3 linked regions of the Elephas maximus indicus genome follow. The protein of the gene in region 1 binds, or shares a complex with, the protein of each later gene. Links are inferred from orthologs where the notes say so. Each region holds a gene or a part of one and is shown in the gene's direction. Other genes may lie near its edges. The genes, in order: SLC3A1, SLC7A13 and SLC7A9.

The links.
Region 2: the proteins of SLC3A1 (region 1) and SLC7A13 are in contact, whole or in part, in a cryo-EM structure (PDB 8WK6), measured with the Homo sapiens proteins. The link is inferred for Elephas maximus indicus from reciprocal best matches to the Homo sapiens genes SLC3A1 and SLC7A13. Residues at the interface, in NP_000332.2 of Homo sapiens: Pro64, Tyr65, Ala66, Gly67, Met68, Pro69, Lys70, Leu73, Phe76, Ser77, Arg81, Tyr82, Pro85, Arg86, Leu89, Phe90, Thr93, Ser96, Val97, Leu100, Ile101, Thr104, Ile107, Ile108, Ser111, Cys114, Leu115, Glu194, Asn195, Asp202; in NP_620172.2 of Homo sapiens: Ile120, Phe123, Phe124, Pro125, Ser126, Cys127, Leu132, Pro133, Cys136, Leu137, Leu139, Ala140, Met141, Trp143, Ile147, Arg151, Lys187, Thr265, Arg267, Asp281, Arg282, Glu450, Cys454, Tyr455, Gln457, Leu458, Leu459, Phe460, Asn461, Ile462.
Region 3: the proteins of SLC3A1 (region 1) and SLC7A9 are in contact, whole or in part, in a cryo-EM structure (PDB 6LID), measured with the Homo sapiens proteins. The link is inferred for Elephas maximus indicus from reciprocal best matches to the Homo sapiens genes SLC3A1 and SLC7A9. Residues at the interface, in NP_000332.2 of Homo sapiens: Pro64, Tyr65, Ala66, Gly67, Met68, Pro69, Lys70, Leu73, Phe74, Phe76, Ser77, Tyr82, Pro85, Arg86, Phe90, Thr93, Val97, Leu100, Ile101, Ala103, Thr104, Ile107, Ile108, Ser111, Cys114, His201, Asp202, Thr373, Glu374, Pro375; in NP_001119807.1 of Homo sapiens: Cys137, Phe140, Tyr141, Val142, Gly143, Cys144, Pro147, Ile149, Val150, Cys153, Leu154, Ala156, Ala157, Leu160, Phe161, Thr164, Leu168, Thr279, Thr281, Asp295, Arg296, Tyr299, Tyr343, Val346, Arg347, Lys467, Thr470, Met471, His472, Gln474.

Annotation. Positions count from the first base shown.
Region 1 is NC_064844.1:18,312,645-18,319,851, reverse strand, and holds the start of SLC3A1 (neutral and basic amino acid transport protein rBAT), read left to right. Parts: upstream 1-4,191; 5' UTR 4,192-4,380; intron 4,381-7,207. UniProt on the Homo sapiens protein: Acts as a chaperone that facilitates biogenesis and trafficking of functional transporter heteromers to the plasma membrane.
Region 2 is NC_064833.1:55,505,377-55,513,322, forward strand, and holds the start of SLC7A13 (solute carrier family 7 member 13), read left to right. Parts: upstream 1-4,923; coding exon 4,924-5,608; intron 5,609-7,946. UniProt on the Homo sapiens protein: Associates with SLC3A1/rBAT to form a functional heterodimeric complex that transports anionic and neutral amino acids across the apical plasma membrane of renal epithelium.
Region 3 is NC_064839.1:14,861,615-14,869,135, reverse strand, and holds the start of SLC7A9 (B(0,+)-type amino acid transporter 1), read left to right. Parts: upstream 1-4,507; 5' UTR 4,508-4,665; coding exon 4,666-4,752; intron 4,753-7,521. UniProt on the Homo sapiens protein: Associates with SLC3A1 to form a functional transporter complex that mediates the electrogenic exchange between cationic amino acids and neutral amino acids, with a stoichiometry of 1:1.

The DNA of each region.
Region 1 (7,207 bases):
AAAGAGGCAGGAACAAGTATCCAGACCAGGCATTCATAGTCTGCAGTGAGAAGACTGGCTGACTGACTGGAGCAGAGGACCTGATCTGGAGACGGTGATGGTTAAGATTGTGTGTCGCCTTGGCTGGGCTGTGATTCTTAGTATTTTGGCAGTTGTATAATGTTGTGATCACTTTCCTGTTGAAATTTGATATGTGATCACCCCCATGATGGAATCTGCTGAGTGGTACCAGTGGGGGTGGGGCCTGTGATGGCTCACGGCTCCCTCAGCCTTCATCTCTCTGCCTTCTGCCCCTACTTCCTTCCTGCTCGCCTTGCAAAAGTTGTTGGCTTGTTCCGGATCCAGCAGCTGTCTCTTGTCTGACTTCTGGTTCTTGGGACTTGAGCTAGCAGCTTACCTGTCCATCTTGGGATTCGCCGATCTTCCTGGCCTGCGAACAAGAGTCCCGCTCGCTGATCTGCCTGTCTTGGGTTCACCAGCCCCTGCAGTTTCAGGAGAAACATGGTGGTCTTGCCTGACGACCTTGGGGATTCCTTGACCATCACAACCTGTGAGCGGGATCCCTGCTTTTCCACCTGCACATCTTGGGTTCAACAGCTTCTGCGGCTCTGCGAATTGGGAAAGTACTCTATGCAGATCCAAGGACTTGGGATGTTTCAACCCCTTCAATTGCATGAGCTGTTTCCTTAATATAAATCTCTATATGTATATTTATATGCATTACTGGTTTTGCTTCTCTGGAGAACCCAGCCTAAGACAGAGATATTAAAAGAAACATTCGATTAGAAATGGTGTTTAGGCCTAGATTATAACTTAGACTCCTATTGTTGTTGTCTGTCATCTAGTCAACCTTGACTTGTAGCTACCCTATAAGACAGAGCAGAACTGTCCCATAGGGTTTGCAAGGCTGTAATTTTTATGAAAGCAGACTGCCACATCTTTTGCCTTTGAAGCAGCTGGTGGGCTTGAACTGCTGACCTTTCAGTTACCTTTTAATTCCAGCCCTTTTTCTCTCTATGCTTCAGTTAAGATAGTTTCCACTGCTAGTCATCAAATCCATTGATCATTTACTTTGAAGTGATTAATTTGTTGTTGAGCCCACCTAGAGATTTTTTTTGTATTGTATTTTATTTTCCATATCCAGAAGTTCCATTTGATTCTTTTTTATATCTTCCATTATACCACTCATGGTGTTCCTGTTTTTCTTTAAATCTTTGAGCATGTTTATAATAAAAAAAATTTTTTTTTTTTTTAGCTGTTTTTAAATTTGTGTTTGTGAATTCCATCATTTATATCATTTCTGGGTTTGTTTTTATGTATGGATTTCTTTCCTGAATTTGGATTACCTTTTGAAGCTTCTTTGCATGTCTAGTAATTTTTTATTGGATGCCAGGCATTGTGATGTTAAGTGTTGAGTGTTGGATTGGTTGTTTTCCTTTAAAAAATGTCATTTTGTTTTGGTTGATCTAACTAAGAAAAACTTTAGACCAAGTGTTAGAGGGACTGTCTGGATCCAGGAATTTCTGATTTGAATATAAAACTCTCATTCCTAGCTTCTTCATGATTCCCAAATTCAGGTATGCAGACAAAGGCCCCTCTAAGGATATTAACGACATGCATGCCTCACAGATTCTGTCTAAAAAAAAAAAATATATATATATATATATATATATTTAATGTATATATTGAGACTTCTAAGCAGCCTCAAAAGACCAGTTTCTAGAAAAGGACATCATGGTTGGTAAAGCAGAGGATCAGCAAAAATGAGGGGAACCCTCAATGAGATGAATTGACACAAGAGCCACAACAATGGACTCAAACATATCAATCATGAAGATGGCACAGGACCAGGCAATGTTTTGTTTAGTTATACGTAAGATTGCCATGAGTTGAAAGTGACTCGATGACAACTAACAACAACGACACTCATCTATTAGAATGGCTAAAATTAAACAGACTGAACGTAGCAAATGCTGGCAAGGGTGTGGAGGAACTGGAACTCTCGTACACTGCTGATGGTAATATAAAATGGTTCCTATTTCACTTCCTAATATAATTTTGGCAGTTTCTCAAAATGTTAAACATACACCTACCATATAAGATGTCACTTTGATGACTAAGGTGTGCCTGACCCAAGCCATGATCTTTTCAATCGCCTCATATGCATGCAAAAGCTGGACAATGAAAAAGGAAAACAGAAGAAGAATTGATGCATTTGAATTGTGGCATTGGTGAAGAATATACTGTAGACTGCCAGAAGAATAAACAAGTCAGCCTTAAAAGAAATACAACCAGAATACTCCTTAGAATGGAGAGATTTCAGTCCATTTACCTTGGGCACTTCATCAGGAAAGACCAGTCACTAGAAAAGCACATTATGATTGGTAAAGCAGGGGACCAACGAAAATGACAGAAGCCCTCAATGAGGCTGATTAACACAATAACTACAACCATGGGCTCAGACATACCAGTGATCGTTAAGATGGTACAGGACCTGATGGCACAGGGCTGGGCAACCTTTTATTCTGTTACACATAAGGTCACCGTGAGTCAGAGCTGACTTGATGGCAGCGAACAACAACAACCGTATGTTCCAGCCATTCTACTCCTAGGCATTCAGCCAAGAGAAGAGAAAGCTATGTCCTTACAAAGACTTGAATGTGAATGTTCACAGCGGTTTTATTTGTAATAGCCAATAACTGAAAAAGAAAACAGAAACAAATGCCTGCTTAAAAACTTTGGTATATCTTTGTATTGGAATACTACTCAGCAATAAAAAATAATGAACTATTGATATGCACAACGTGGATAAATCTCAAAATAATAATTATGTTTCATAAAAGAAACTAGACCAAAAAAAAAAAAAACAGTACATACTCTGTTATGATTCCATTTATATGAAATTCTAGAAAATGCAAACTAATCTATAGTAATTATCCTGGGGTTGCCTAGGAATGGAAGGCGGTTTTGGTGGTGCTGGGAAGGAGAATAGGAGAGAGAGATTTCAAAGGGGCAAGAGGAAACTTTTGAGGGTGATGGGCATGTTCATTATTTTAGTTGTGATGATGGTTTCATGGATCTATAACTTATTAAATTGCATACTTGAAATGTACTTTTAATACTATTTTTAAAAAGCCAAAAGCAAAAGAAACCCAACCATTTATTATTTTTCATGGTATGGTAGTTGTTGATTGGCTGGTTCTGTGGATCTGGGCTAGGCTCAGTTGATCTCAGCAGGGCTTGCTCCTGCATCTGTCGTCAGCTGGAGGGCTGGCTAGTCTAGAAAGACCCTGGCTGGGGAGACTCAGCACTCCTTCACATGTCTCCCACATCCCTCCGGCAGGTTAACCTGGGCATGCTGGTATGATGACGACGGGGGAGGTTCAAAAGAGAAGAGAAATGCACAAGTACTTTTGTTTAAGCCTTTGTTGGTGTCACATTTATTATTGTCCCATTGGCCAAAGCGGGTGACATGGCCAAGCCCAGATTCAGTCTGCCAAGGGGTTAAGAAGTTATGAGGGGAAACGGCATGGATACAGGAAGACCATTAACTGGGTTATTAGTGCAATTAATCTATAGTGCACCTTATCAAGTTTTTTATTCCATCAAGAAGGTGCTTTTATGTGATGACTTATCACGTGTTACATTCTTACATATAACTTAACATATCTTTTCATCTCTTATTGAATGTGATTTGGCTATTGATTTTGTATATTTGCATGAATTCTTTATATGTGCAGAATAGTAAGATTTTGTGGTGACATTTGTCACATTTTCATGTTCTGGTACGTTTCTTCTTTTGCTATTTGTTTTGTTTCATTTGGCTATAAAAAGTTTTAAAAATAGCCTCTATTTTTTTCAGTTGTTGTATGAATTTAACTTTCCTCTCTAGCTGGGATAAATCTATCCTTCCCCTTTCTTTCTCGTTAGAATGGTTTTAAAAAACACCTTACTGTGGTCTATATTTATAATGTTAACTCTGTAGCCAAATTACGTTTTACAGCTGAGGTAACAGCACCTTAGAGAAGCTGGCAAGTTTGTTTAAGATCATGCCGTGAGCAAATGGTGGAGGCAGGACTTGATTCTCGCTGAGGTCTTTGAACTTAAAATTCTACTCAGTACACAGTACCATGACAAGAACACATGGCTAAGAGAAATGATAAAAATCTACATTTTTGTGCAGAATGTACTTTCTATTTCCCCTCTCTCTACACCCATTCCCTCCCCCACAAAGGTTAGCATTAGGTTCATCCATCTTTATGTAAATATTTTTATTTTTAATAATATATCAGGCGCTGCACTAGATGCCGGGAACTTGAAGATGACTGTTATGGATCCTACCCACAGCTCACAGTGTCCGTGAATCAGTCTGGTGAACAGGTAAAAAATATGGAAAACCCTTCGGTTTGGAATCTTTACCAATCTGACAGATTATATGCCTCGGGTTTGCTGTTGAATGGGACTCTTTACGATGTGATGGCCTTGAAATTCGTCTTTTTTCCCCCTTGATTACTTTTATTCTCTGTTTCTTTATTTACATTTCAGTGAGTTTTCTGGCTCCTCCATTGTTCTGTCACCTGTTTCGTAGGTATTTCATCTGTGCTTTATTATCGGTTTTGAGTAACTCTCCTGAGATTTGAATTCGCTGAGGTAATTTATGTTTGTTATCTCGGATTCCTTATTCTGATCATCTGAGTAAGCTGTTAAAGCTTCCTTTGTGTTTTTGTTCCTTACTCATTTTTACAGACTGTCGTTGGTTTCCACAATTATTATTTCCTTTTTAATCCTGTTTAAAGTAAATAGTAGTTTGTACTTGCTTGGAATTCTTAGCTTTGTAGATATCTTCTCGGGCTTACTGCCAACTTTCTCTTCCTTTCCAAGCGCTTCAAAACTTGTTAATTGGATCTTGTGTTTTCCTTCTGCTTTTTAAATTTGCTTTTATATCTTTCGTTTAGGTATTAGTAAGGGGTGTTTGTGAATTTTAGGTGGCAGTTGTCAGGAGGAATCACCTTATACTGAACTCTTTATCACCTACCTGGAAGTTCTAGGTAGACTCCCAAATCAGGATACCCTAGCTTAGTTTTTTTTTTTCCAATTTCAAGAGCAATGCACATTTATTATAGAAAAATCAGAAAACCCAGAAAATTTAAAGAACAAAGTATCATCCATAATTTTACAGTCCGGAAATAAACACTCTAAACATATTTTTTAGTCAGGCTTTATATATATACATGAGTTTGTTTGTTTTTTTCCCACATAATTGGGATACTTTCTTCCATTCAACAGGAGACTTTTAAGAGCTGTTTTTCCTCTCAACACGTTGTGAAATGTTTTCCATGTCACTAAAAAGTCTTTGAGAATATGTTCAATAACTATCACAAGAATGTACAATAATTTATTAAGCTAGTCTCTTATCATTAAGCTCTTAGGTTGTTTTCAATGTTTGCTATTATAAATACCACTATAATTAATAAAACATTTTATACATAAATTTTTGGCTCCATCTCATTGAGATAGATTTTTGGAAGTGGATTATTGAATTAAAAGATATAACCTTTATTTATTACAAAAGTCACATATGCTGAGGACAAAAAATTTAGTCAGGGTAAAAGTGAAATGTAAAAGTCCAGTGACCCTCATCTTTATCCAGTTATTCTTAGTCTCCGGTCAACCACTAGTTGAAAATTTAATCTGCATGTATGACTGTGTGTGTCATTTTTTCTGCACAATTATGATTATACATACCGTTCTAAATTTTTTCCCACTTCACACTATATTTTGGACATTTTTTAAATCAGCCTAGACCAACGCATTCTGTAGTATACAGGTGGTATTCTACTGTGTGGATTTGACATAATTTATTTAAATGATTCCCCCATTGATGGATAGTTAGGTTGTTTCCAGTTTTGTTGCAGTGAATATCCTTACACCAGCAAGATAAATTTTTAGCAGTGAAACTTCTAGGTCAAAGGTTATGAGATTTACCATTTTGACATATACTCCCAAATTCTCCCACACAAAGGTTGTACTAGTTTACAGTCCTATCATGAGTTTATGAGAGTGCTGATTACCTGTATATTTTTTGACACTGAGTATTATCAAACTTGCTCATTTTTGCCAAAAAAAGCCTAAAAATGTTATATCCCTCTTATTTTGGTTTCTGTTTACTTTTGAGTGAAATTTGAATTTTGTGTTTTTAACCACTTGTATTTCTGATTATTTTTGTATTAATTTATAAATCAATTTCTATATTATGAAAAATAACTTGCCGTATGTCTTAAAATATTTTTTTCTAGTTTGTCATTTGTTGTCTTCTAGCTTTGTGGATTGTTCTGTTTGTTTTTAATTTGTGGAATCGAATTTTTTGATCTTTTCTTTCCTGGGATGTAGATTTTGTATTTTATTGGAAAGGCTTCCCAACTCTAAGATTATTTTTTTTAAGTAGATACATTTCTGTCTAGCATTTTACAGGTTTTATATTTTACTTTTATATCTGATCTGCATAGAACTTATTTTGGTATAAGGAATAAGGTAGGCTGTATAGCTTTATTATTTTTTCCCAATAGCTAGCCAGCTGTCCAGCACTTTTTCAATAATCATTTTCTCCCTGATTCAAAATGTTGCCTTTTCACATTCTAAAATTTCCTTATGTATACAAAAGAAAAAAAAAAAGCAAACTCATTGCCATTGAGTTGATTCCAACTCATAGCGACCCTATAGGACAGAGTAGAACTGTCCCATAGGGTTTCCAAGGAGCGCCTGGTGGATATGAACTGCCAACCTTTTGGTTAGCAGCCGTAGCCCTTAACCACTATGCCACCGAGGTTTCCGCCTTATGTATAGGGGTCCATTTTTGGTGACTCCAATCTATTCCATTGATCTTGTGGCCTATCTCTTCTTTACTATCAATTCCTTTTTTTGTTTTAAAATCTGGTAAGGCTAGCCCCATTTTATTACCTTGAAAAATGTTAAAGCTTATCATACACATTGCCAAATTGCTTTCTAGAATGATTACGTCAATTTGTACTGGATCCTTGCCAGCACTATTATCTTCTAAAAATTCTTTACAAATGTGATTGAAAATGCTTGTTTATTTGCCTGATATTTGTGCGTTTATTTGTGTGAATTATCTGCTTATTTTTTCCAAGTTTTCTACAGATATTTATGTTTTTAATTGATATTAAGAAATGATATATATGTGTCTAAC
Region 2 (7,946 bases), on another chromosome or scaffold:
ACCTACATAAACTAACAACAAACAGAAAATCTGAACAGACCCATAACAAGAGAAGAGACTGAAGAAGTAATAAAACAAAACTCTCCCCCACCCCCCCAAAAAAAGCCCTGACCCTGACGGCTTTACTGGAGAATTGTACCAAACATTCAGAGAAGAGCTCACACCAATACCACTCAAACTATTCAGAGCATAGAAAAGGAAGGAATACTCCTGAATTCATTCTATGAAGCCAACATAAATCTGATACCAAAGCCAGGCAAACACCATGGAAAAAGAAAATTGCACCCAATATCTCTCATGAATATAGACACAAAAAGTCTCAACAAAATTCTAGCCAATAGAATTCAGTATCATATCAAAAAAATAATACACCACAGACCAAGTGGGATTCATACAAAATATGCAAGGATGGTTCAGTGTTAGAAAATCAATGAATGTAATCCATGACTGAAATAGAAAAAAAGAAAACAAGCACATGATCATTTCAATAGATGCAGAAAAGGCATTTGATAAAGTCTAACACCCATTCTTGATAAAAACTCTCAATAAAATAGGAATAGAAGAGAAATACCTCAACATAATAAAGGGCATGTATACAAAACCAACAGCCAACATCATTCTCAATGGAGAGAGGCTAAAAACATTCCCCCTGAGAACAGGAACAAGACGAGGACGCCCTTTTTCACCACTCCTATTTAAGATTATGCTGGAAGTCCTGGCTAGAGCAATAAGGCAAGAAAAAGAAACAAAAGGCATCCATATTGGAAAGGAAGAAGTAAAACTATCTGTATTCACAGATGATTTGATCTTATACATAGAGAACCCCAAAAATTCCAAAGGAAAACTACTGAAACTAATAGAAGGATTCAGCAGGGTTGCAGGATACAAGTCAACATACAAAAATTGGTTGGATTCTTATACATCAACAAAGAGAATTTCAAAACAGAAAGCAGATAAACAATACCATTTATAAAATAAAACAAACCTATTGCCATCGATTCAAGTCATAGTGACCCTGTAGGACAGAGTAGAACTGCCCCATAGGATTTCCAAGGAAGCTGGATTTGAACTACCAACCTTTTGTTTTGCAGCCCAGCTTTTAACCACTGTGCCACCAGGGCTCCATACCATTTATATGGAAAAGAAAGAGGCCTTGGATAAGCAAAGCAGCATTGAAGATAAAGAACAAAGTAGGAGGCCTCATACTCTCTGATCTCAGAATCTACTATACAGCCCCGGTAGTCAAAACAGCCTTGTATTGGTTCAACAACAGACACATAGACCAGTGGAGCAGAATCGAGAACCTAGATGTAAATCCATCTACCTGTGGTCAGCTTATCTTTGACAAGGAAACAAAGTTCATTAAATGGGGAAAAGACAGTCTTTTTAACAAATGGTGCTGGGAAAACTGGATGTGCATCTGTAAAGAAATGAAACAGGACCCATACCTCATACCATACACAAAAACTAACTAAAAATGGATTAAAGACCTAAATATAAAACCCAAAACTCTAAAGATCATGGAAGAAAATAAATGAATAGATAAATAAAGACAACGTAGGGGCCCTAAACATGGCATAAATTCAATACAAACCGTAACTAACAATTCACAAACACCAGAAGATAAACTCGATAACTGGCCCAAGCCAAGCCCATTGCCACCAAGTCGATTCTGACTCATAGCAACCCTATGGGACAGAGAGCTGCCCCATAGGGTTTCCAGGGAGCAGTTGGTGGATTCAAACTCCCAACCTTTTGGTCAGCAGCGGAGCTCTTAACCACTGTGCCATAACTGGGAGCTCCTAAAAGTTAAACACTTATTCTCATCAAAAGACCTCACCAAAAGAGTAAAAAGAGAACACACAGACTGGGAAAAATTTTTTGACTATGACATATCCAACAAGGGTCTAATCTCTAAAATCTATAGAATACTGAAACACCTCAATAACAAAAAGACAAATAATCCAATTAAAAAAATGAGCAAAGGATTTGAACAGACACTTCATCAAGAAGACATTGATACAGCTAACAGACACATGAAGAAATGCTCTTGATCGTTAGCCATTAGAGAAATGCAAATCATAACTACAATGAAATACTATCTCGCCCTGACATTACTGGCACACACACAAAAAAAAAAAACCCAGAAAATGAGATATGCTAGAGAAGTTCGGGGAGATTGGAACTCTTAGGAACTGCTGGTGGGAGTGTAAAATGGCATAACCACTACAGAAAATGATATGGTGCCTCCTTAAAAACTAGAAACAGAAATACCATACCATCCAGCAATTCTCCTAGGAATATATCCTAGAGAAATGAGAGCCGTCACACAAATAGGCATATGCATACTCATGTTCTGTGCAGCATTACTCACAATAGCAAAAAGATGAAAACAACCTAAGTGCCCATCAACAGATGAATGGAGGAACAAATTATTTTACATAATGGAATGCTACAAAATGATAAAGAACAATGATGAATCCTCAAAACATCTCACGACATGGATGAATCTGGAGGGCATTATGTTGAGAGAAATAAGTCAATCACAAAAGGACAAATATATGAGAACACTATTATAAAAACTCATGAAAAATTTTACACACAGAAAAAACAATCTTCGTTGGTTACAAGGGAGAGGAGGGATGGGGAAGGGAACTCACTAACTAAGATAGTAGACAAGCGTTAACTTTGGTGAAGGGAAAGACAACACACAATATACGGGAAGTCAGCACAACTGGACCAAGGCAAAACCACAGAAGCTTCCTAGATACATTTAAACACCTCAAGGAACCGAGTTACTGGGGCTGAGGGCTGCGAAACATGATCTCAGGGGACATCTAGGTCAATTGGCATAACAAAGTTCATAAGGAAAATGTTCTACATCCATTTTGGTGAGTAGTTCTCTGGGATCTTAAAAGCTTGCGAGCAACCATCTGAAATACATCCATTGGTTCCATCATGTCCGGGGCAAAGGAGAGTGAAGAAAACGAAAGACAGAGAAAATATCAGTCCAAAGGACTAATGGACCACATGATCCACAGCCTCCACTAACCTGTGCCTAGAACAGATACACGGTGCCTGGCCACCACCACCAACTGCTCTGACAGGGATCACAATAGAGGGTTCTGGACAGAGTGGGAGAAAAATGTAGACCAAAATTCAAATTCGCAAAAAAAAAGACCGGACTTACTGGTCTGACAGAGGCTGTAGGAACCCCTGAGACTATGGCCCTGGACACCCTGCTAACTCACACCTGAAGCCACCCCTGAAATTCAGTTTTCAACCAAAGATCAGAGAGACCTATAAAACAAATAATAACACACATGAGGTAGGTACTTCTTAGTTCAATCAAGTACACTAGACCAAATGGGCAGCACTTGCCCAAAAGCAAAGAGGAGAAGGCAGGGAAGGACAGGAACCTGGATGAATGGATGGGAGGGAACCCACAGGTATAAAGGGAAAGGGAGAGAATGCTGACACATTGTGGGGATTACAACCAATGTCACTTTGTGTATAAATTATAAATTTTGATTGAGGAACTAATTTGTACTGTAAACTTTCACCTAAAACCCAATAGAAAAATTTTACAAATTCCCAATAAAACCTTCCTATCAAAAAAAAAAAAAAAGCCACAGAGATGAACACAGCCATGTTGCACCTGACCTGACCCCATGACACACCTGCTGAGAGAGAGACACCTGCTAACACTTGGTCCAAGTCTTGCCCACCTGGCGGCATAGACATGGACACAGGTAATTCGAGAAGGGAGAGTGAGTTCCCTTTTAGACATAAAAGAGTTCTCTCCTATGATACTAAGTAGGGTACTCCTGGGGGCGGGGAAAGGACCGATTCACATCAAATCTGTTCCTATTGTTTACTGTTTGCTTTCTGTAAGTAATCTCTTCTTGTTTACTGTTAACCTTCTTCAAATAATAACAATGGATTTTAGTTGCCAATATTGTGTGTCTTGTGTGTGTAACCCAATTGGATTGGATCATCTTCATCCTAGCAGTCATATGATCGCTTGGATGCAGTGCATAGCCTGTGTGTATGCACACATGTACATGCATGGGCATGGTTCACTTGCAAAATGAGCCTGTCTCTTGATCAGCCATCACTCTGGTACCCCGGGTCACAGGCACAGAGATGTGAATGGGAAGTACAGGAGAAGACCTGACCCCAAGGACGAGGGGAAGGAGGGTCCTAACCATCTGAACAAGGCCTGGACCTGAGTAGCTCTCACATATGTTGATTTTACAATGAAAAGCATTGTCAAGAGTATTTCCGAAGGCTCCTAAGCCTGGAGCACAGCCCCAGGTTGGAAGTAAAGTATTTCTGAAGTATCCCCTAAGGGTATGTGAAAATTAAATTGTCCATGTTTTTGCTTTGGTTGTGGGAAAAATGGCAGTTTTCTGGAAGATTGCATCCAAAAAATCTACGGTAATACTGTACAGAGCTGAGTAAACATGACCAAGTCCACATCCCAAATGAAACCAGGCCTCCCCTCCAGAAAGACGCAAAGTAGCAGAGTGCAGAACTGTCTGTGGTCCTACCCATTGCTCCCCTCTTACTTATCTACTTTAAGAGGAGACAGGGAGAAAATCAACTACACAGCCGATTTCTGCTTTTCACTGTAATACCCTCTGTCCTATTTGAAATTCCATTTATCCATTTGAATGTATTATTTTGATAATAATTAAAAAAACAAGCAAACTAAACTCTTCTAAGAAATCTCACACTATTTTCTTTAATGTTTCACACGTATTTTGTTAATCATTAAACATGAGCTATGTGTAATAAAGGTGGAATGAAAAGCACTGCCCTGTTCTATTTCAGAGAATCGATGAACATTTTATTTAGCAATATAGTCAGGAAAATTCAAAAATTGTAATATATGTAGAAAATTTAAATTCCTTAAAGAAAATGGATGAAGGGAAGAAGAGACAGCTCCGGAGGGTATTTGGATATTACCAGGGCGTATGTTTTACCATCATTAATATGATTGGTACAGGAATTTTTGTGGCTCCCAAAGGGGTGCTGAAGTACTCTTGCATGAATGTGGGGCTATCCCTGTGTATTTGGGCTGCCTGTGCTTTATTGTCCATGATGAGCTTTCTCTGCTCTGCAGAGATAGGTATAACCTTCCCATGCAGTGGGGTTCAGTACTATTTTCTCAAGAAATGCTTTGGCTCCGTGATCGCTTTCCTAAAACTTTGGACAGGCTTATTTCTGGGGCCGGGGATAGTCGCTAGCCAAACCCTGCTCCTCGCTGAGTATGGCATCCAGCCTTTCTATGGCAGCTGCTCTGCTCCAGAGCTCCCAAAGAAATGTCTGGCACTGGCCATTGTATGGATAGTGGCAATCCTGAATACTCGTGGTGTAAAAGAGATGGTTTGGCTTCAGACAGCCAGCACAATGCTGAAAATGGCCATACTTGGTCTCGTTTCCCTGACTGGAGTGGTGATACTAGTGAGAGGAAGGAAGGAGAATGTAGAGAGGTTTCAGAATACTTTCGATGCTGAGTTTCCAGATGCCTCCCAGATGACAGAAGCCTTCTTCCAAGCATTTTTCGCATATTCTGGCGGAGACAGCTTCATGTTTATAGCAGGTAATTTACAATCCACTGAGAAGCAAATCTCGTAAGCTATTATTTTTGCATGCAATATGAAATGTACATCTTCTGCTGGATTTGGAGTTTTATTTTAAATAAATGATTCAATTTTTTTTTTTTTTTAATTCTTTGTGACTTTCCTAATCAGGTCAGAGTATACCAGCCTTGCCACTTCCTCTTAATTATTTTTCCATCTATTCAAAGTACCTGTTTTATCAACAACTTCTTTCTTTCCTGGAACCAGAGATATCAGACCACCATGTTAATCTTTTTTTTTTCCTGTTAATGTGGGAATGCTGTGGTTGTGGAAATATTCGCTTCGCATGAAACTAATTGAATACAGGCTGTATTTAGGTTGTGGGTACATGTGACACACTTCGGCTCTTAAGTATTTTTAAAGGGAAGAGAATCGTAGATATCCTAAATTGCTCTTAGGCTGGATTTAATAACCTTCCCTATTCGATGCCAGGACAGGAGTTTTTCTCTCTTTTTTTTCAAAGTCAACCTCTTCCCTTAGACTCTGCATCCTTTCCCTCCCACCTCCTTAGGGACCTTTCTTGTGCATTTATTCCATTTTTTGTTTTTCAACTTCTACCTTTCTACCAGTTCTTAGGCTTGAAATTTAAACGTGAACCAGACTCTTCAGTTCTTAAAAAAAATATTTTCCTTAAATCTTAGAATCCTTTCTAGTCACTGATGTGTCAATAATTCACGAAATCATTCTATCAGCAAGCATCTGTTAAAACACCATTTTTAATATTCTGTACTAGTGCTTGAAGATGAATAAGATGTATTCTTTGCACTAAAAAGGCTTACAATCTAGTAGAACAGGCAACATCTGTATTTCAGCCTGACCTCTGACACCAGCTGTGGTAAGTAACTTCCCCTCTCTGGACTTAACTTTTTTTTTTTTTTGCAAAATGGGCATTATGGCTCAAAATCATTATAATTTGGTGCCTTGTAGATAAATATTGGCACGACAGTATCTAATAAGTTGCCGTAAGGGAACAATATAATTGCTTTGGAAATTCAACAGAAGAAAAGGTCACTTTTCACTGTGTCCTCAAGTGGAAATCGTGGCAATCTGAATTGAATCTAACGGTTTAGGCAGTAGGAAAATACGAGTGAAGCTGTGGAGAACAGAGGTGTGTAGGGTACATAAAAGACATGGCAGGTGGTCTTGGGTGACTGCAACATGGTTTCTGTCTGAGAGCCTGATAAGAGATATGGTCAGTAAGAGAAGTATGTACAGAGAGCAATAATATAATGGTATAAGATTGGAGACATACGACTGGAGAATGCCAACTTTTAGGTGGTAAGAGGAGAAAGAAAATGCCTTGGAAAACCCACAGGAGGTTCAGAGAATTGTAAAGGAAAATCACCACATGTTTTATAAAGAGGCGGTAATCAAAATGGTTGAATGCTGCTGAAGTTGAGGAGTGTGAGGACTGATCAAAAAACATTTCACTGACTAAATAAGAAGTCACTGACAGAGAAGGAAGTCAGTTTGCACTGAGCTAAAAAATGAGATATTGATGAGAGTATAAAACTATGAGAGAAGAATTTTTTATGTAGTTTATGATTAAATGGGTGACTGCAATTTGAGAGTTTAGCAGAATGAGCAAAACTCTGTCTCACGTTGTCTCTGTTAAGGATAAAAGAGATCTCTTTGGCTTCTATTTGAGCCAATTTTATCTTGTTCCATTGCCAGAGATGTTTCATTTTAGATAATTATTCTTTTCTGAAAATAGATTGACAAAAACAGCTAGCAGTAAACAAAGGCTGGAGGAATTCCAGTATGTGCCGGGGTTGTTAATTTACTAAATTAATTCTAAGTAATACTCCCACCTGTGAAATGGTGATTTTCAGGCAGCTGACTTTGCCGAGTGTAAGAACATTTATCTTTTAAGTTCAAGACTCAGTGGTATTCACTACCTGTCCAGCTATTATAAGCCTCTGTTATAAATTAAATTCTAATCCCCACTTCTCTCCATACAGTCGGTACATAATAAGAAAGAGTATAAGGCCCAGAGAAAAGTGTAGTTAATCTAAAAACTTGCCCTTTATCTTGTTCCAGATTTTTGACTAATAACCATAGTTATTAATTAACAACCACTTCTTAAGCACTTATTAAGTGCTGTACAACGTGATTGAAGTTTTATTGTTTCTGTATTTTCCATTTCCCCCAATTGTCCAGAAGCCTTCAACTAGTAAATCATTCAGGCAGGGCTTAAATTAGAGCTTTGTAATTATTTACATTTTAAGTGCTTAATCAGCTCACGTGTCCCTCATGGACATTGGATTCAACCCCTGAGCAAATGAAGATGGAAGAATT
Region 3 (7,521 bases), on another chromosome or scaffold:
AAACCTTTAGGATTTTGAAGCAAAGCCCTGCCATTCTCTAGATAACGACTTTCCTTTTGAGGAACAGTTTTTGGCTTGTTACTGGGCCTTAAAAAAAAAAAAAAAGGGCCTTAGCAGAGACCAAAAGCCTAACCATGGGCCACCAAGTCACCATGCAGCCTGAGCAGCCCATCATGAACGGAATGTTGTCTGATCCAGAGAGTCATAAAGTTGGACAAACACAGCAACACTCCATCATTAACTGGAAGTGGTATCTACGAGAACGGGCTTGGGCAGGACCTGAAGGCACAATTAATTTGCATGAGAAAGTGGCCCAAATGCCCATGGTATCCATTCCTGTCACATTACCTTCCCTCTCCCAAGCTGTACCTATGACCTCATGGGGAGTTCCTTATGATCAGTTGACTGAGGAAGAGAAAACTCGTGCCTAGTTTACAGATGGCTCTGTACAATATGCAGGTACCACCAAAAGTGGATAGTGGCAGCACTGCAGCCCCTTTCTGGGACCTCCCTGAAGGACAGTGGTGAAGGGAAATCCTCCCAATGGACAGATCTTTGAGCAGTGTACCTGGTTGTTCACTTTGCCTGGAAGGAGAAATGGCCAGATGTTTGACTATATACTGATACATGGGCTGTAGCCAATGATTTGGCTGGATGGTCAGGGACTTAGAAAGAACATGATTGGAAAATTGGTGACAAGGAGGTATGGGGAAGAGGTATGTGGATAGACCTCTCTGAATGGGCCAAAAAAGTGAAGACATTTTTGTCAAACTAAACCTGGCTACCACCACCGGCTGCTCAGACAAGGATCACAATAGAGGGTCCCAGACAGAGCTGGAGAAAAATGTTGAACAAAATTCTAACTCACACACACACAAAAAAAACCAGACTTACTGGTCTGACAGAGACTGGTGAAACCCCAAGAGTGTGGCTCTCAGACATTCTCTTAACTCAGTACTGAAGTCACTCCTGAGGTTTACCCTTCAGCCAAAGACAGGCCTATAAAACAAAATGACACTAAAGGGGCACACTAGCCCAGGGGCAAGGACAAGAAGGCAGGAGGGGACAGTAAAGCTGGTAATCTGGAACACAAGGTCGTGAACGGGAGAGTGTTGACATGTCATGGGGTTGGCAACAAATATCACAAAATAATATGTGTATTAATTGTTTAATGAGAACTTAATTTGCTCTGTAAACCTTCATCTAAAGCACACACACAAAAAAGAATGCTATCTGGTCACTTGGGGCTCCTCATGCCTCTGGATCAACAGGCCAAGAAAGGAGTTACCATATTGGCTGGTGTAACTGACCCTGATTACCAAGGGGAAATCAAATTGATATTACATAACATAGGTAAAGAGTATGGCTAGAATACAAGAGAGTCCTTAGGGCATCTTTTAGCACTAAAGTCAATGGAAAACTTTGTTGTTGTTAGGTGCTGTTTAGTCCCATCTGACTCACAGCGACCCCATGTACAACAGAAGAAAACAATGCTTCATTGGTTTTGCTTCCATAGAGAACCCAGTCTAAGACAGCAGAGTTTGAAAGGGAAGGTCAAGAGCGTTAGAAGACACCTAAGAAATACTGGAGTTGTATAAAAAAAATAACATGAAACTTCCTTGGAAAGTAACTGTAGAGGGAATTGACTGCAAAGAGGTAAAGCTTCAGCTGTATGGTGAAAAGCTGGATATATAATGAACAAAAAGTCTTGAAGAAGAATCAGGAAAAAAAATGGTTTTTATCAAATTATTTTCCACTAGGAAAAACTTATAATTGGTTGAACATCACTTTGCTGAATAAACAAGCAAAAAACCCAAACCTTAAGAAATGCTCACCACAGACCGCAAATTAACTCAAGTGTTGATTTCTGACTCTGAAAGGATCCTCATGCCCAGATGCTCCAAGCTCAGCACTTGGCAGAGGCCCAGAAGGCCCAGGGGGTCCTCTACATCAACGGAAGGAGGAGATTTAACACACGACCTGTGGAAATCCTCACAATTCCAGGAGAGGGACCGTTACCCTCCCCATTTTAAGATTTGGATCTTGAGGCTTAGAGGTGGTGGCCTGGTCCCAGGCCTACCCTCTTCATGTGGTTTCTGTCAGAATATCAGCCTGAAACCCTAGTGGCTAGTGGTTAAGTACTACAGCTGCAAACCAAAAGGTCGGTAGTTTGGATCCACCAGGCGCTTCTCGAAAACTCTGGGGCAGTTCTATTCTGTCCTCTCGGGTTGCTATGAGTTGGAACCTACTCAATAGCAATGGGTTTGGTTTTTGGTTGGTTTGGTGGCAACTTTGACCCAGGGAGTGCCCTGTGGTGTTTTGAGAATATGGGTGGGCCAGACACTAGGGTTCCAGCACTGCAGGTTCTGTCGGAGCAGGCCGATGAGCGCCCTGCCTGGCTCAGGGAGGCAGGTGTCCTGCTGCGCAGGCTCAGCCTTCCCAGGACTGGGAAGCAAGGGTCCACTTGTCTCCTGATGGTTGTAGGAAGCAACCCTGAGAAATCTGCCCTCCTTCTCTCAGGTCGGCCTGCCCCAAAAGGCTCCCAAAGTGACCCCCATTGGCTCACCCACCTCTGTCCCACAGCCTTTGGTCCATCTGGATTTGTAGGGTGCTGCTACATTTACCCCAATGTAAAACCGCTGGTGAGAGTGTGGCAAAATGTGAGGGCTGTAATTAGTGTCGCTGAATCCTGCATGCAGAAATGGTTCAATTTGTGTATTTTTGGCTGTGTATAATTTTATCAAAAAAAAAAAAAAAACTGCAGCAGTGGTGATACCAACAACAATGCTTCAGGCTTACTGTCCCCCCCCCCACACTCCCCCCCACCCCACCCCCCGCTGCTGTCCTCTCACCTGTCTGATAAGGAGCCTCCCACAGGCAGACCTTACCTGAGATAAGGGTTTGGAGCAGCTGAGTCTCTGCCCCGCAACCAGAGGGGAAGGCAGCCAGATGCACCAGCCCTGGGTGGGGGTCAGAGCTTCTTGCCCTCGCTGGGCCTCAGTTTGTCTGTCAGGCAAATGCAAAGGCGGACTTGATGGTGTTCGGTGTCCCTGTTCTGCTCGACAGTCCTGGATCTGGGCTACTTTAACAGCACAACGACAACTCTTTGGGGCTTGGCGGGAGCAGCAAGGGAGGCCGGAGCTAGGACCTGTCAGGAAGCCTCTCTGCAGCGTCCACCTTTTGCCAGGCTCCCTGGTGGTTCCAGGTGGATCCAGCCACTGGCAAATGTGAGTAGAAAGGCCTCCCTCCTCATCCCACAGGAATGCAGACCAAGGACTCTGAGAGGAATTTACCCCGTGGGAAGGAAAACAATTTGTGAGTCCCATGTAGCGTAGCAGCTACCACTCGCGCTATCTCAGTGGTAAATAGAGCCCATTAAGGTAATGAAAGAGTTGGTTCCAAAGCTTACTTCCCTCGCTTCCAAAAGATATAAAAAAGCATTATTTCCACTCTTCGGTAGTGGATTTGGGGAAATCTGGGGGAAAAAATTGATTTAGACATAACTGAACAAAACAAAACATTTTAGGAGAAAAGTAGCTTGCCTCACCCTCCCCTTTTTGTGTGGTGTATCCAAGCTTTATTGCTCACAACAAAAGGTGTTTAATAATTACCTTTGCTGACCTCTGTACTTTCTGGCTTCCTCCACTCCTGGACACAAGACATGGCCATTCCTAGGGTGTGACAGCGCAGAGGCAGGTGGTCGGCCAGGCCAGCAGCGTCTCCTCTGGATCAGCAAGGTCAAGGCAGAAGGTAAGCCTGGCTAAGGGAAGCCTGTCCCTTCTCTGGCCAGCCCAGGGGGATTTATTTGGAGAAAGGGCACAGTAGACCACGGTCTCTTGCTGTAGCCTTAAGCCAATTTTCCTCAGCAATTTTTTTCATTCCTTACATCACTCAGTCCAAAAATACTCATCCTACAGGTCCATCAGAGCCCTGGTGGCGTGGTGGTTAAAGCATTTGGCTGCTACTTGACAGGTCAGCAGTTCGAACCTCCCACTAGGCGCTCCTCGGGAGAAAGATGTGGCAGTCTGCTTCCGTCAAGACTTGCAGCCTTGGAAACCCTATGGGGCAGTTCTACTCTGTCTTATAGGGTCGCTATGAGTTGGGAATCAGCTCAATGGCAGTGGGTTTGGTTTTGGTTTTGGAATGGGCCTATCATGCTTGAGGTAAGAAAAAGATTTCTTCCCCAGGCTTGATTCTGCTAAGCATATTCTGGTATAATTCATCTTTTTTTTTTTTTTTAACTTAAAAAAAAATCAAGTTGGACCATGGAGGTAAAATGACTTTTCAAGTATGTCACTGTTGAGGATGATGAGGAGTGACAGGCCTGGGAGCCTGGGGGCTGGAGGCTGCTGGGAGAGAGGCAAACACTCAGCTGGGTTGGAAAAGAACACAGGAAGCTCCATTTCCTGTGGCCTGAACTAAATTAAGATTAAGGACTAATATTTACTCCTGGGACTGAGCAAGTTACTACTAAGGATTAACAACTGTACTTGCCTAAAGCCTGAGCTAACAATCTGCTGTTGGAGGCCCTTCCCAAATCCCAGAGGCCCTAGCTGAGAAGAGCCTGGGCAAGCCCCAATTTGCATCTTGCCAGCAGGGTGTTTGCTGAATGGAGACCCGGCCCATGCCCTTCTTGCAGCTTCCCAGAACTGGCAGGACGGGGAGATGGGGGAGACACGCCTGAGGAAAAGGAGAGAGGACGAGAAGTCGATCCAGAGTAATGAACACAAGACCACAATTCTCCAGAAAGAGGTAAAGTGGTCTTCTTTTGGGGGCCCCTTCAAGGGCTGAGTAGGGGAGTTTTCAAGAGCAGTCCCAGACAGAATGAAGTCCCCACTAATCCCTAATAAATAAATCCCTAGTGACTAACAAAAGGAAGTGATCTTTGATTCTTAAGGTACATCTTGGAAGGACAATTCTTTGGATTTATCTCTTTCTCTTCCTCCTGTGAACTCAGCATATTCTTTTGAAGTTAACACATACGTGCTTTCCTGCCCTGGGTAAACGTCTGCAGGGGCCAGTATTTGCTCAGATCAGGGGACTCTTAGGGGCAGTGTGAAAGGACCCTCTATGTCTGAGTCCCAAGTATCTGTCCCTCCTGTTTGAATACCTCTGGTGATGGGAAAAGGGTCCCTGGTGGTACAATGGTTAAACAGCTCAGCTATTACTTGAACCCACCACCGACTCTGTGGAAGAAAGGTATGGCAGCCTTGGAAACCCTTTGGGGCAGTTCTACTCTGTCCTGTAAGGTAGCTATGAGTTGGAATTGACTCAATGGCAATGGGTTTGGTTTAGTGATGGGAAGGAGTCCCTGGGTGGTGCAACTGAAAAGGTGGAAGATCAAATCCACCCAGAGGCACATTGGAAGAAAGGCCTGGTGACCTAGTTCTGAAAAATCAGCCATTAAAAACCCTATGCAACATAGTTCTACCCTGGCATACACGGGGCCACCTCGAGTCGGAATCGACTCCATAGCCACTGGCTACTGGTAGTGAGAGGAGACTTGCTCCCTCCAGAAGCAGCCCACTCCATCTTAGAGGGGTCTAGCTGGATGATGAGTTTAACAAGGGGGAGACCTGGATGAACGCTCAGAGTTGGGAAGTAATGAGGTACCTGCTGACTAGAGGGGGCCAGGAGGGCTGACAAGGAGACGGGCAACAGCACCCTCCCTCTCTGTCAGTCTCTGTGCCTGGGACCAGAGGGGGTGGAAGACGATGACACGGAAGCCCCGGAAGATGAGAGGGCGGGTGGCATGGCCTAACCGTTGGCTGGCCTGGGATCTCAGATCCCCAGGAGTCAATGACAACAGCACCCTCCAACTCTGTCAGTCTCAGGCCTGCAGGGCCAGGCTTGACTGAGTCCAGTGATGGTTTCTCAAAGCCAAGGTGGCCCTTGAGCCACACAAAGAGCACAGGTGAGCAAAGCCCAAGTGTGTCCTAGACTTACCTAGGCACCTTCAGGGTGAATGTAGACCTCACCCAGATTAGAATCCAGGCAGTTGCTCAGCAGAGGAAGGATTCTGGGGGCATGTTGGTGAGCTAAGCTGTCTGCCCTGAGGAGGGAGGTGTGGAAGCTGGAGCGATTAAGACAGCAGAGCTAAGGTCCCTGCGTGGGGCAAGTGGCTGGTAACCAAAAGGTTGACAGTTCAAACTCACTCAGTGGCACCACGGAACAAACAAGCCTGGTGATCAGCTTCCGCCAAGTTTACAGACAAGAAAACCCTGTGGGCAATTCTACTCTGTAACACGTGGGGTCTCTTAAGTCACCAATGAACAACAAAAACAAAATCAACCAGAAAGGAGCAGAGCTGAGACGGCCCTCAGCTCACCCTTGAGGCCCAGAGCGGAGCTGGCACTGCTTCCCAGGGACCCCTGCTGTGTGTCACATCCCATGGGTGGCAAACTCACTGCTGGGATTGCCCTGGTTCTCCAGGATCTCCCCCTGAACTCAGCCTCTGCCCTCCCAGGCAAGCACACACACCCTGACCTCAGCTTCCCAATCAGGCCTCGGCAGCTTCCCAATCAGGCCTCGGCAGCTTCCAAGGCCTGGCGTTCTAAGTAGGGGCCTGAGTGAGACATACTCTCCTTAAAAATATATATATATTTTTTGATTGCTGTATAGTTTATATAGGTCCCTGGGTGGTATAGGTGGTTTGCAATTGGCTGCTAACCTAAGGGCTACCTACCAATGCTAAACTAATTGTTGCCAACAATGGGTCACAGACCTGCTCTCTACCCAGCAGCTCCCCTGAAGAAAGGCCTGGTGATCTGCTTCCAAAAAGACTGCAGCCAAGAAAACCCTGTGGAGCAGTTCCACCCTGTAACACATGGGGTCACCATGAGTCACAACTGACTTGATGGCAATGGGTTTGGTTTTTGGTATGGTTTGTATACAGTGAAACACACAGATCTTTGGTGTTCAGTTTCTGTTTTTTTTTTTTTTTAATTGTGCTTTAGGTCAAAGTTTACAGAGCAAATTAGTTTTTCATTGAACAGTTAATACACATGTTGTTCTGTGACATGGTCTGCCAATGCTGCGACGTATCCACACCCTCCCCTTCTCCACCCTAGTTCCCTGTTTGTATTCATCCAGTTCTCCTGCCCTTCCAGCCGTCTCATCTTTGCTTTTGGGTTGGTGTGCCTGTTCAGTCTTGTGTACATGATTGAACTACGAAGCACGTTCCTCACGTGTTATTCTTGGCCCTATAGACCTGTTTAATCTTTGGCTGAAGAGTGAACCTTAGGAGTGACTTCAGTCCTCAGTTAAAAGGGTCTCCAGGGGCCATGATCTTGGGGTTTCTCCAGTCCTGTCAGACCAGCAAGTCTGGTCTTTTTATGAAATTTGTATTTTGTTCTACATTTATCTCCTGCTCTGTCCAGGACCCTCCATTGCGATCCCTGTCAGCGCAATCGGCGGTGGTCACCGGGTTCATTTCGAGTTTCGACATACACATCACCCAGAAAGTTCCCTCCAGCCCCTCAGGCAGTCCTCCACCCCTGATTTCTATCACCATAGGTTCCT